Linked DNA regions of Drosophila melanogaster. Each later gene encodes a partner of the first gene's protein in a complex. Each region holds a gene or a part of one and is shown in the gene's direction. Other genes may lie near its edges.

Evidence for each region.
Region 2: the proteins of Taf9 (region 1) and Taf6 are in contact, whole or in part, in a crystal structure (PDB 1TAF), measured with the Drosophila melanogaster proteins. Residues at the interface, in NP_523391.3 of Drosophila melanogaster: Lys20 (codon at 1,675), Asp21 (codon at 1,678), Val24 (codon at 1,687), Ile25 (codon at 1,690), Ser27 (codon at 1,696), Ile28 (codon at 1,699), Leu29 (codon at 1,702), Glu31 (codon at 1,708), Leu32 (codon at 1,711), Val34 (codon at 1,717), Glu36 (codon at 1,723), Tyr37 (codon at 1,726), Glu38 (codon at 1,729), Arg40 (codon at 1,735), Val41 (codon at 1,738), Gln44 (codon at 1,747), Leu45 (codon at 1,750), Phe48 (codon at 1,759), Thr49 (codon at 1,762), Phe50 (codon at 1,765), Tyr52 (codon at 1,835), Val53 (codon at 1,838), Thr54 (codon at 1,841), Ile56 (codon at 1,847), Leu57 (codon at 1,850), Asp58 (codon at 1,853), Lys61 (codon at 1,862), Thr71 (codon at 1,892), Ile72 (codon at 1,895), Asp73 (codon at 1,898); in NP_524161.2 of Drosophila melanogaster: Gly18 (codon at 1,741), Ser19 (codon at 1,744), Ser20 (codon at 1,747), Ile21 (codon at 1,750), Ser22 (codon at 1,753), Glu24 (codon at 1,759), Ser25 (codon at 1,762), Met26 (codon at 1,765), Ile29 (codon at 1,774), Ala30 (codon at 1,777), Ile33 (codon at 1,786), Val35 (codon at 1,792), Ser37 (codon at 1,798), Leu38 (codon at 1,801), Ser39 (codon at 1,804), Asp41 (codon at 1,810), Ala42 (codon at 1,813), Glu45 (codon at 1,822), Leu46 (codon at 1,825), Asp49 (codon at 1,834), Val50 (codon at 1,837), Ser51 (codon at 1,840), Lys53 (codon at 1,846), Leu54 (codon at 1,849), Lys55 (codon at 1,852), Ile57 (codon at 1,858), Val58 (codon at 1,861), Gln59 (codon at 1,864), Ala62 (codon at 1,873), Gln71 (codon at 1,900).

Annotation. Positions count from the first base shown.
Region 1 is NC_004354.4:17,840,642-17,844,159, forward strand, and holds Taf9 (TBP-associated factor 9), read left to right. Parts: upstream 1-1,519; 5' UTR 1,520-1,617; coding exon 1,618-1,768; intron 1,769-1,832; coding exon 1,833-2,518; 3' UTR 2,519-2,707; downstream 2,708-3,518. Other genes in the region: CG6398 (uncharacterized protein), read left to right, coding at 1-54, 121-286, 349-458; CG8142 (uncharacterized protein), read right to left, coding at 2,779-2,865, 2,928-3,518. UniProt on the Drosophila melanogaster protein: TFIID is a multimeric protein complex that plays a central role in mediating promoter responses to various activators and repressors.
Region 2 is NT_037436.4:19,597,471-19,602,193, forward strand, and holds Taf6 (TBP-associated factor 6), read left to right. Parts: upstream 1-1,617; 5' UTR 1,618-1,689; coding exon 1,690-2,574; intron 2,575-2,636; coding exon 2,637-2,806; intron 2,807-2,863; coding exon 2,864-3,319; intron 3,320-3,439; coding exon 3,440-3,749; 3' UTR 3,750-3,912; downstream 3,913-4,723. Other genes in the region: ash1 (absent, small, or homeotic discs 1), read right to left, coding at 1-623, 686-766; CG9368 (uncharacterized protein), read left to right, coding at 4,303-4,506, 4,572-4,590. UniProt on the Drosophila melanogaster protein: TFIID is a multimeric protein complex that plays a central role in mediating promoter responses to various activators and repressors.

The DNA of each region.
Region 1 (3,518 bases):
TTCTTTGAGAAGGAGAAGGTCGTGGGCGAGGATTACTTCCAGCAGTGGAACACGGTATGTACACCAGCTGCATTGGGCATGTATGTGGATTAACTAATGATGAATATCTTGATTTATTAGGTCCTGCGCGACAACACGAAGATCGCCTACGACTGGTCGTACATCGTGGCCTGGGCAGGAATCGGAACCTGTCTCCTGGCGTCCATTCTGCTCTCCGGCGCGGCCGTTTGCCTGCGCAACGAGCGGGAGAAGGAGGAGCAGCTGAACCTGCAGTACCTGATGCCAGGTATGTCCATCGTGCTGACCCTCTAATATAACTAATGACTAATTTTCGGTTTCCATTTCCAGTTTACTCGCAGAAGCAGCCACCCTATCCCCCTTATGCCAACTACGCCCAGCCGCAGATCTACCCAGGACCTTACTATCATGGCTCGCAGTACGGACCCTACAACTACTAGAGGCACACCCGAAGGGGCCAGCCAGCTTCAGCCAGCAGCTGCAATTGAGTTATAGAGACATAGAGATCACAAATCATGACCAGGAGGGAACCTGGTAGCCCTCCCCAGTAATCAAAATAGAGCAAGCGCTAACGAAATCTTAAAACGCATACATTCTGACAATGAAAATATTACTTAAAGCATCAATTTTTTTTTTCGACAAGAATCTAGTTTGTAGTCTATATAGAGCTATATAGTATATATATATATGCTTGTATGTATAACTGATCGTGGGACTTGAGTCAAAGTTGCGTCCAAGTTTTTGGTGCGCGAATTGTTTGCGCGTTATTTTGCAAATATCTAAGAGAGACGAATGGATGGATGGTTTTATATGTTGACCACGGCGAGATGGCGATTTAAAGACGGAACAATAAAGAGTTAATTTATTGTAGCACGTAACGTACATGTAGCGTATCTAAAATAATAATAAAGAAATATGTGTATGTATCTAAGCTAAAAGTTTCATTGTACAATGTATATGAATGTAATAATGCGCGACAAGCTTCAATTGTCTTCCAAGTATAGTGCATATTGTATGTAGAGCTGTACGTTTAATGAATAAAAGTTTCTTACGTTAATTTAACAGTTTTTAGCTCCTTTTGGCGGGACTTCGTTTTTGTTTTTCCACAACTGGGGTATTCAAGTTTTGTTAATAAGCTTATCAAGTCGTGTGAGAGAAATTTTTGACTTTATTAAAACTAAACAGAATTGTAGTCTTCATTTCACTCTGCCATTTGTTCTCGTTTCGTTAATTCCGAAATATTTTGAAATTGTTGTTTCTGATAGTTAATATTCCACCTATTGGTCCACCTATTATGCCAATGTGGTGTTATGTGATCTGGTAGAAATATGCTTATTGTTTAATATTTTGGATAAGCTTCATTAGATTTGTTCCTACATTTAAAAATCGATTTCTAATTTAGCCGTTTTTTTTAAATGGCCAGAGCCAGAGTTGCCACCCTGCAGTCCAGCGGCGTTTTCCACACTAGACGTCTGCATCGATAGTATCGCATAAGCTCACCGATTTCCGATAGACCCGTATATATGTACGTGCACAATTTCAATGGAATAAACAATCTTCTTGCAGCAAAGCCGACGTAAACATAATAACTATAGAAGTATGAGCGCAGAGAAGTCCGATAAGGCCAAGATCAGTGCCCAAATCAAGCACGTGCCGAAGGACGCGCAGGTGATCATGTCCATCCTGAAGGAGCTGAATGTCCAGGAGTACGAGCCGCGCGTGGTCAACCAACTGCTGGAGTTCACCTTCCGTAAGCGGCGATTAATGCCTTGCTTTTCCCACATCATTTTCCTAAATGCTGTCTTGCATTGCAGGCTATGTAACCTGCATTCTGGACGACGCCAAGGTGTACGCCAACCATGCGCGCAAGAAGACCATCGACTTGGACGACGTGCGTCTGGCCACCGAGGTTACGCTGGACAAGAGCTTCACCGGGCCGTTGGAGCGCCACGTTCTAGCCAAGGTGGCCGACGTGCGCAACAGCATGCCCCTGCCACCCATTAAGCCGCACTGCGGTCTCCGACTGCCGCCCGACCGCTACTGTCTCACCGGCGTCAACTACAAACTGCGGGCCACTAATCAGCCCAAGAAAATGACCAAGTCGGCGGTGGAGGGCCGTCCACTGAAGACCGTCGTTAAGCCCGTCTCCAGCGCCAATGGTCCGAAGAGGCCACACTCCGTGGTGGCCAAGCAGCAGGTGGTGACCATTCCCAAGCCCGTCATCAAGTTTACCACCACTACGACAACGAAAACGGTGGGCAGCTCCGGCGGATCTGGGGGCGGCGGTGGTCAGGAGGTTAAGAGCGAGAGCACCGGCGCCGGCGGAGATCTCAAGATGGAGGTGGACAGCGATGCGGCGGCCGTGGGCAGCATCGCTGGCGCATCCGGTTCGGGAGCAGGAAGTGCCAGCGGAGGAGGAGGAGGAGGAGGATCATCTGGCGTTGGAGTGGCCGTCAAGCGGGAACGTGAGGAGGAGGAGTTTGAGTTTGTGACCAACTAGCGAAACGACATCATTTACCTTAAATTAATATTCTTAAACCAGACCAAAGCACTTGCATTTGGTTGAGCGAACTGGGGGTCTAAATTTCAACTCGAATGTGAAGTCCCAAAAACCTTAGTATAGATTCGCCCGTTAATCATTATGAAATCTACGTTTTATACACAAATACAACTACCAGATTTTCATATTAAATATAACATTTATTTTAGACTCCAGTCGCGGATAAAGTACATGTAATGAATGTGCTGAGTGGGATGAGATTACTTTAAAGCTAAGATGATGCAGCAGCCAAGGTCCATGATCTGCAGATACTCGGAGCCGCCGTCCTGCAGTCGAAAGCAGCATTCCTGTGGGATAAAGGCAGCAATAAACAAGAGGAATCATATCTATCTATGCAGTCAGTACGTACGCCCAGCTTATCGCAGATCGTGGCCTTTTGCGGATCATTCAGCCCCGGATGATGGACAATGAACTCGACGAACTGTTCCATCATTTGGCCAACGCTGTAGGCGGAGAAGCCAATCTCCCGCACGAACTGCTCCAGGCGCTCGTAGTTCCCAGAGCGACAGACCTCCAGGTAATCCTCCAGATAGTACTCCGGTATAACGCCCGACATCTCGAACAGATCAGCAGTGTTGATGATGTGCTCGGGCCCTTTAAGGCGGTAGCAGGACTGCAAGGTGGTGATAGCGCGTCGCAGATCTCCGCCGGAAATTTTGACAATGGATTTATAGGCATCGTCCTCTATCTTTACTCCCTCCATCTCGCAAATGTACTTCAAACGATCGATCACCTTGTCTTCGCCCAGCGCCTTGAAGCGAAATTTAGAGCAACGCGACGTGATTGGCACGATAATTCGGGACACATAGTTGCAGATCAGGCAAAAACGGGTGCTCCGGCTCTCCTTCTCCATGGTGCGACGCAGCGCAGACTGTGCGGCATGGGTCATCGAATCGGCCTCGTCCAGAATGATGATCTTGAAGGGCGGACACGGCTTACC
Region 2 (4,723 bases), on another chromosome or scaffold:
TGCCCCAGCATCTGAGTCTTCTCCATGAAGTCTTGCAGCAAAGTTGACTGGTACTGGGGTAGGTTCTTGTCCTTGGCCGCTTTGCGGAAACTTCCTTCCACAGTTGTGTCCTCCGTATCGCTCTCCACTCGCTTGATAGCCGCCTGCACCAGGTTAGGTAACTCGTTGTCGCTGGACGAGATTCCGATATCGAGGGTGGGTTTGCTGGCCGACTGTGCCGCCTGGATGATAGCACTTAGCAGCACTCGCGGAGCTCTCTGCTGATGCACCTTCAAGGGCAGATCGTCCTCTGAGTCCGAGGAAAATGCCGAGATCTGTGACTTCTTAGACTTAGACACTTTGTCCGATTTACTAATCCCACTGGAACTTGCCAGCTTCTTGCGCTTGACCTTCACTTTCTTGCTGACCGCTCTATTTTTGGCCTCCGAGCAGCCGGACTCGGTGTCCTGGGTAGACATTTTTCTGGACTTTGGGGGTTTCTTGGTTGCTACGACTCCTAACGTGGGGCGGATGGCCGAGATTCTCATTCGCAGTCCATCGGTGTCCGAACGCTGCACGCTAAACTGGGTGGCTGACTTGATCGACTTCGACTGGCTCGATTGATCCGTAATGGAATCGGTTTCCTGAGGAGAACAACACACTTTACATATAGCATTGCATAAAGGGTGCCATTTTAAAGACTTGCCTCATTTTCACTGCCGGATTCTTGTGCGCGTTGCGTTTCCAGAACCTTTGCTGCTGCCGTCTCATTTTGGCTACAGCTCATATTTTGGAGTCGCTGGGGAGCTGCAAAGGTTCGCTTTTGTTAGCCAAGTGTTTTTAATTCGATTTGGTGGCACTCTTAATCGCCTTTAAAGTAGGTCAAACCGCGGTGACATCGTCCAAAAAAAAAACCATTACCTACAGCACACTTACGCTTGATTGTTTTCTGGGCTAGTAGTAGACCTCAGTAGTCGGTTTCGTTTGTGCCGAAATGACAATCTATTGCTGCACACATTGCATTTGCACTTTTCTTGAGCCTTAGGCCGTGGCTTGCCTGCTTCTAAAATGGCGCCGTTTTCACTTTCCCAAAAACTGCTTTGTTCGACGCCCGACGACGGCGCAACGTTGCAACGCTTCTCGCATGTGGCACATTAATCCGCGGTACCGATAATTCACTTTTTTCGCGACTAGTGGGCGGTGGCGGGGCGCATCAATTGTTATTGTTAATGTGGCGCAACAACAAAAAGCCAGGCAACCAAAAATTTACGAACATAAATAAAGAAAAAGACTGCGTTTCAGTGTGCCCAGCTGGGGTGTACGTGATGTCTACGCGACAGTGTGACCTTGCGGCGGAATTTAGCAGGCAACTATCGCGAACAATAGTGGATTCTATTCAAAAATAGCTGGAAAAAAACAAGCCGATTATTGTATAACAATGTGAAACCAGTAATATTAATATGACATTTTTTATGAATTAAAAATGAATTCTTATATTTTTTTTACTATTGTAACTAAATATTTGTTATGGGAATATATTCCTTACATGAACTCGCAAATAGCAAAATTTTAGGTGACCATAAAACTAATTATAGCAGACGATATGAAACAACAAAAAAGCCAGAATAGCTAGATTTTCTCTTTTGGGTGTGTGCACACTGGCCGAGCAGCTCGGCGATTATTATTTGTTTATTTGTAAAAACCTGGGAAATGAGTGGAAAACCGTCGAAACCGAGCAGCCCCTCCAGCAGCATGCTGTACGGCTCCAGCATCTCGGCGGAGTCCATGAAGGTGATCGCGGAGAGCATCGGAGTGGGCTCCCTGTCGGATGACGCCGCCAAGGAACTAGCGGAGGATGTGTCCATCAAGCTGAAGAGGATTGTACAGGATGCGGCCAAGTTCATGAACCACGCCAAGCGGCAGAAGCTCTCAGTGCGGGACATCGACATGTCCCTTAAGGTGCGAAATGTGGAGCCGCAGTACGGTTTCGTAGCCAAGGACTTCATTCCATTCCGCTTCGCATCTGGCGGAGGACGGGAGCTGCACTTCACCGAGGACAAGGAAATCGACCTAGGAGAAATCACATCCACCAACTCTGTAAAAATTCCCCTGGATCTCACCCTGCGCTCCCATTGGTTTGTTGTGGAGGGAGTGCAACCCACTGTGCCCGAAAACCCCCCTCCGCTCTCGAAGGATTCCCAGTTACTGGACTCGGTCAATCCAGTTATTAAGATGGATCAAGGCCTAAACAAAGATGCGGCAGGCAAACCCACCACCGGCAAGATACACAAGCTGAAAAACGTGGAGACCATTCATGTCAAGCAACTGGCCACGCACGAGTTGTCCGTGGAGCAGCAGTTGTACTACAAGGAGATCACCGAGGCGTGCGTGGGATCTGATGAGCCGCGGCGCGGGGAAGCGCTGCAGTCGCTGGGATCCGATCCTGGCCTGCACGAAATGCTTCCCCGCATGTGCACCTTCATTGCCGAGGGAGTTAAGGTCAATGTGGTTCAGAACAACTTGGCGTTGCTTATTTACCTCATGCGCATGGTTCGTGCGCTTCTGGATAATCCTTCGCTGTTTCTGGAGAAATACGTAAGAAATTTCTTATTGTATTGTTCTTTGTTTCTCATAAAAACGATGTTGTCTCCGCATAGCTCCACGAACTGATACCCTCGGTGATGACGTGCATTGTGTCCAAACAGCTGTGTATGCGCCCCGAGCTGGACAATCACTGGGCCCTGCGAGACTTTGCCTCCCGACTGATGGCTCAAATCTGCAAGAACTTCAATACCCTAACCAACAATCTGCAAACCCGTGTCACCCGGTAAATCACATCCACTTAAATTAAATAACCTTTTAACATCCATTTCCCAACCTTCAGCATCTTCAGCAAGGCCCTGCAGAACGACAAGACCCACCTGTCCTCGCTTTACGGCTCTATTGCGGGTCTCTCGGAGCTGGGGGGCGAAGTCATAAAGGTTTTCATCATACCCCGCCTTAAGTTCATATCGGAGCGCATTGAACCTCACCTGCTCGGCACCTCCATCAGCAACACTGACAAGACAGCAGCAGGTCACATCCGCGCCATGCTTCAGAAGTGCTGTCCCCCGATTCTCAGGCAAATGCGCTCAGCGCCAGATACAGCGGAGGACTACAAGAACGACTTTGGCTTCCTGGGGCCGTCGCTGTGCCAGGCAGTAGTCAAAGTTCGAAATGCGCCCGCCTCAAGCATTGTAACCCTGTCATCCAACACTATCAACACGGCACCCATCACGAGTGCAGCACAAACAGCAACAACCATCGGACGAGTGTCCATGCCCACCACACAGAGACAGGGGTAAATAACACTTTTAAGCATAAAATAAAATTCCAGCCAAGCATTTGATTCCTAATGGAAACCATGTTGACATGTCTTTTTATGCCCATTACTAAGCGGTTAAATATTCTTTTGTTTTAGAAGTCCCGGAGTCTCGTCCCTGCCGCAAATAAGAGCCATTCAGGCCAACCAGCCGGCGCAAAAGTTTGTGATAGTCACCCAGAACTCGCCGCAGCAGGGCCAGGCGAAGGTGGTGCGGCGTGGCAGCTCTCCGCACAGCGTGGTCCTCTCCGCGGCCTCCAACGCTGCCAGTGCCTCCAATTCGAACTCAAGCTCGAGCGGCAGTCTACTAGCGGCTGCACAGCGGAGCAGCGATAATGTGTGTGTTATTGCCGGTAGCGAAGCGCCAGCAGTTGATGGTATAACAGTTCAATCTTTCAGAGCATCCTAGACGCCAACTCGCTGATCATTGAGACGGAGATTGTGCGCGCACCGCCCGAGCTGGACGATCTCTCGCACCTGGAGTAGCCAGCTTAGTTCGTAGTCCACATTTTGTCATATTGTATGCAATAAAATAAAAAATGCGGGTTCCTACCCCAAAAAAATGTAACCACACAAATAGGAAGAATATTAAATCATTATTTTCACACGTTTTGTGTAAAATGGATTTAGTTCTTCTTAGCAAGCAAAAAAAAAAACATTATTTAAGGATTTCCCATAGAAATATTAAGCTACAGTTCTGTAAATAACGAACTGTTGAAATCAACTGACTGCTCTCCCACCCCACAAATCGAAAGCTTGCCCACGCAGTCAGCACGCATGTGCGGGTATGGGCCCCCAAGTGGCTTGCTATTGATTTCTCCAGCGCATTGCTGGGTGAACGCACAAAGAGCTCTGCTCAGCACTCCTTGTAGATACCCATCGCAGGACAAAGGCAAAGCTCGAAACGCTTCTGGCAGCATTTTCAAAGGATAAAAAGGAATTCTCACAAAAACCCAGGAAAGATGCATGCCAGATTTGCGGATCCCGAGCCAGCGTCTCCGGACAGCGTTGATGGAATCGAAACGGAGTCACTGGAGGCGCGGATTGAGGCCTTCAAGCAAAATCCCCAGAACATGGCCGCGTTGCGGGAGGCGCTCGACGATGTGCTCCTGCGGGCTGAGACGGAGGCGAACAGGCGGGCAGTTGAGAGCCAGAAATCGCAACAGGTTGACCACACATATCTAATATTCGTTTTCGAGCTAACTGAACTAACTTGTAACTTCCCTTGCAGGGCAAGGAAAAACGACCGAGTAAGTATACGCAGTGTGGTTCAGTACATTTCACTTCTTAGCTATTTGGATAGTGTATTGCTTTTCCCTTTCGAGCACTTCAGCGCAAACCCTTGCCAAGTGCTGGCCGCTGAATAGACACTTGTGCACAAAT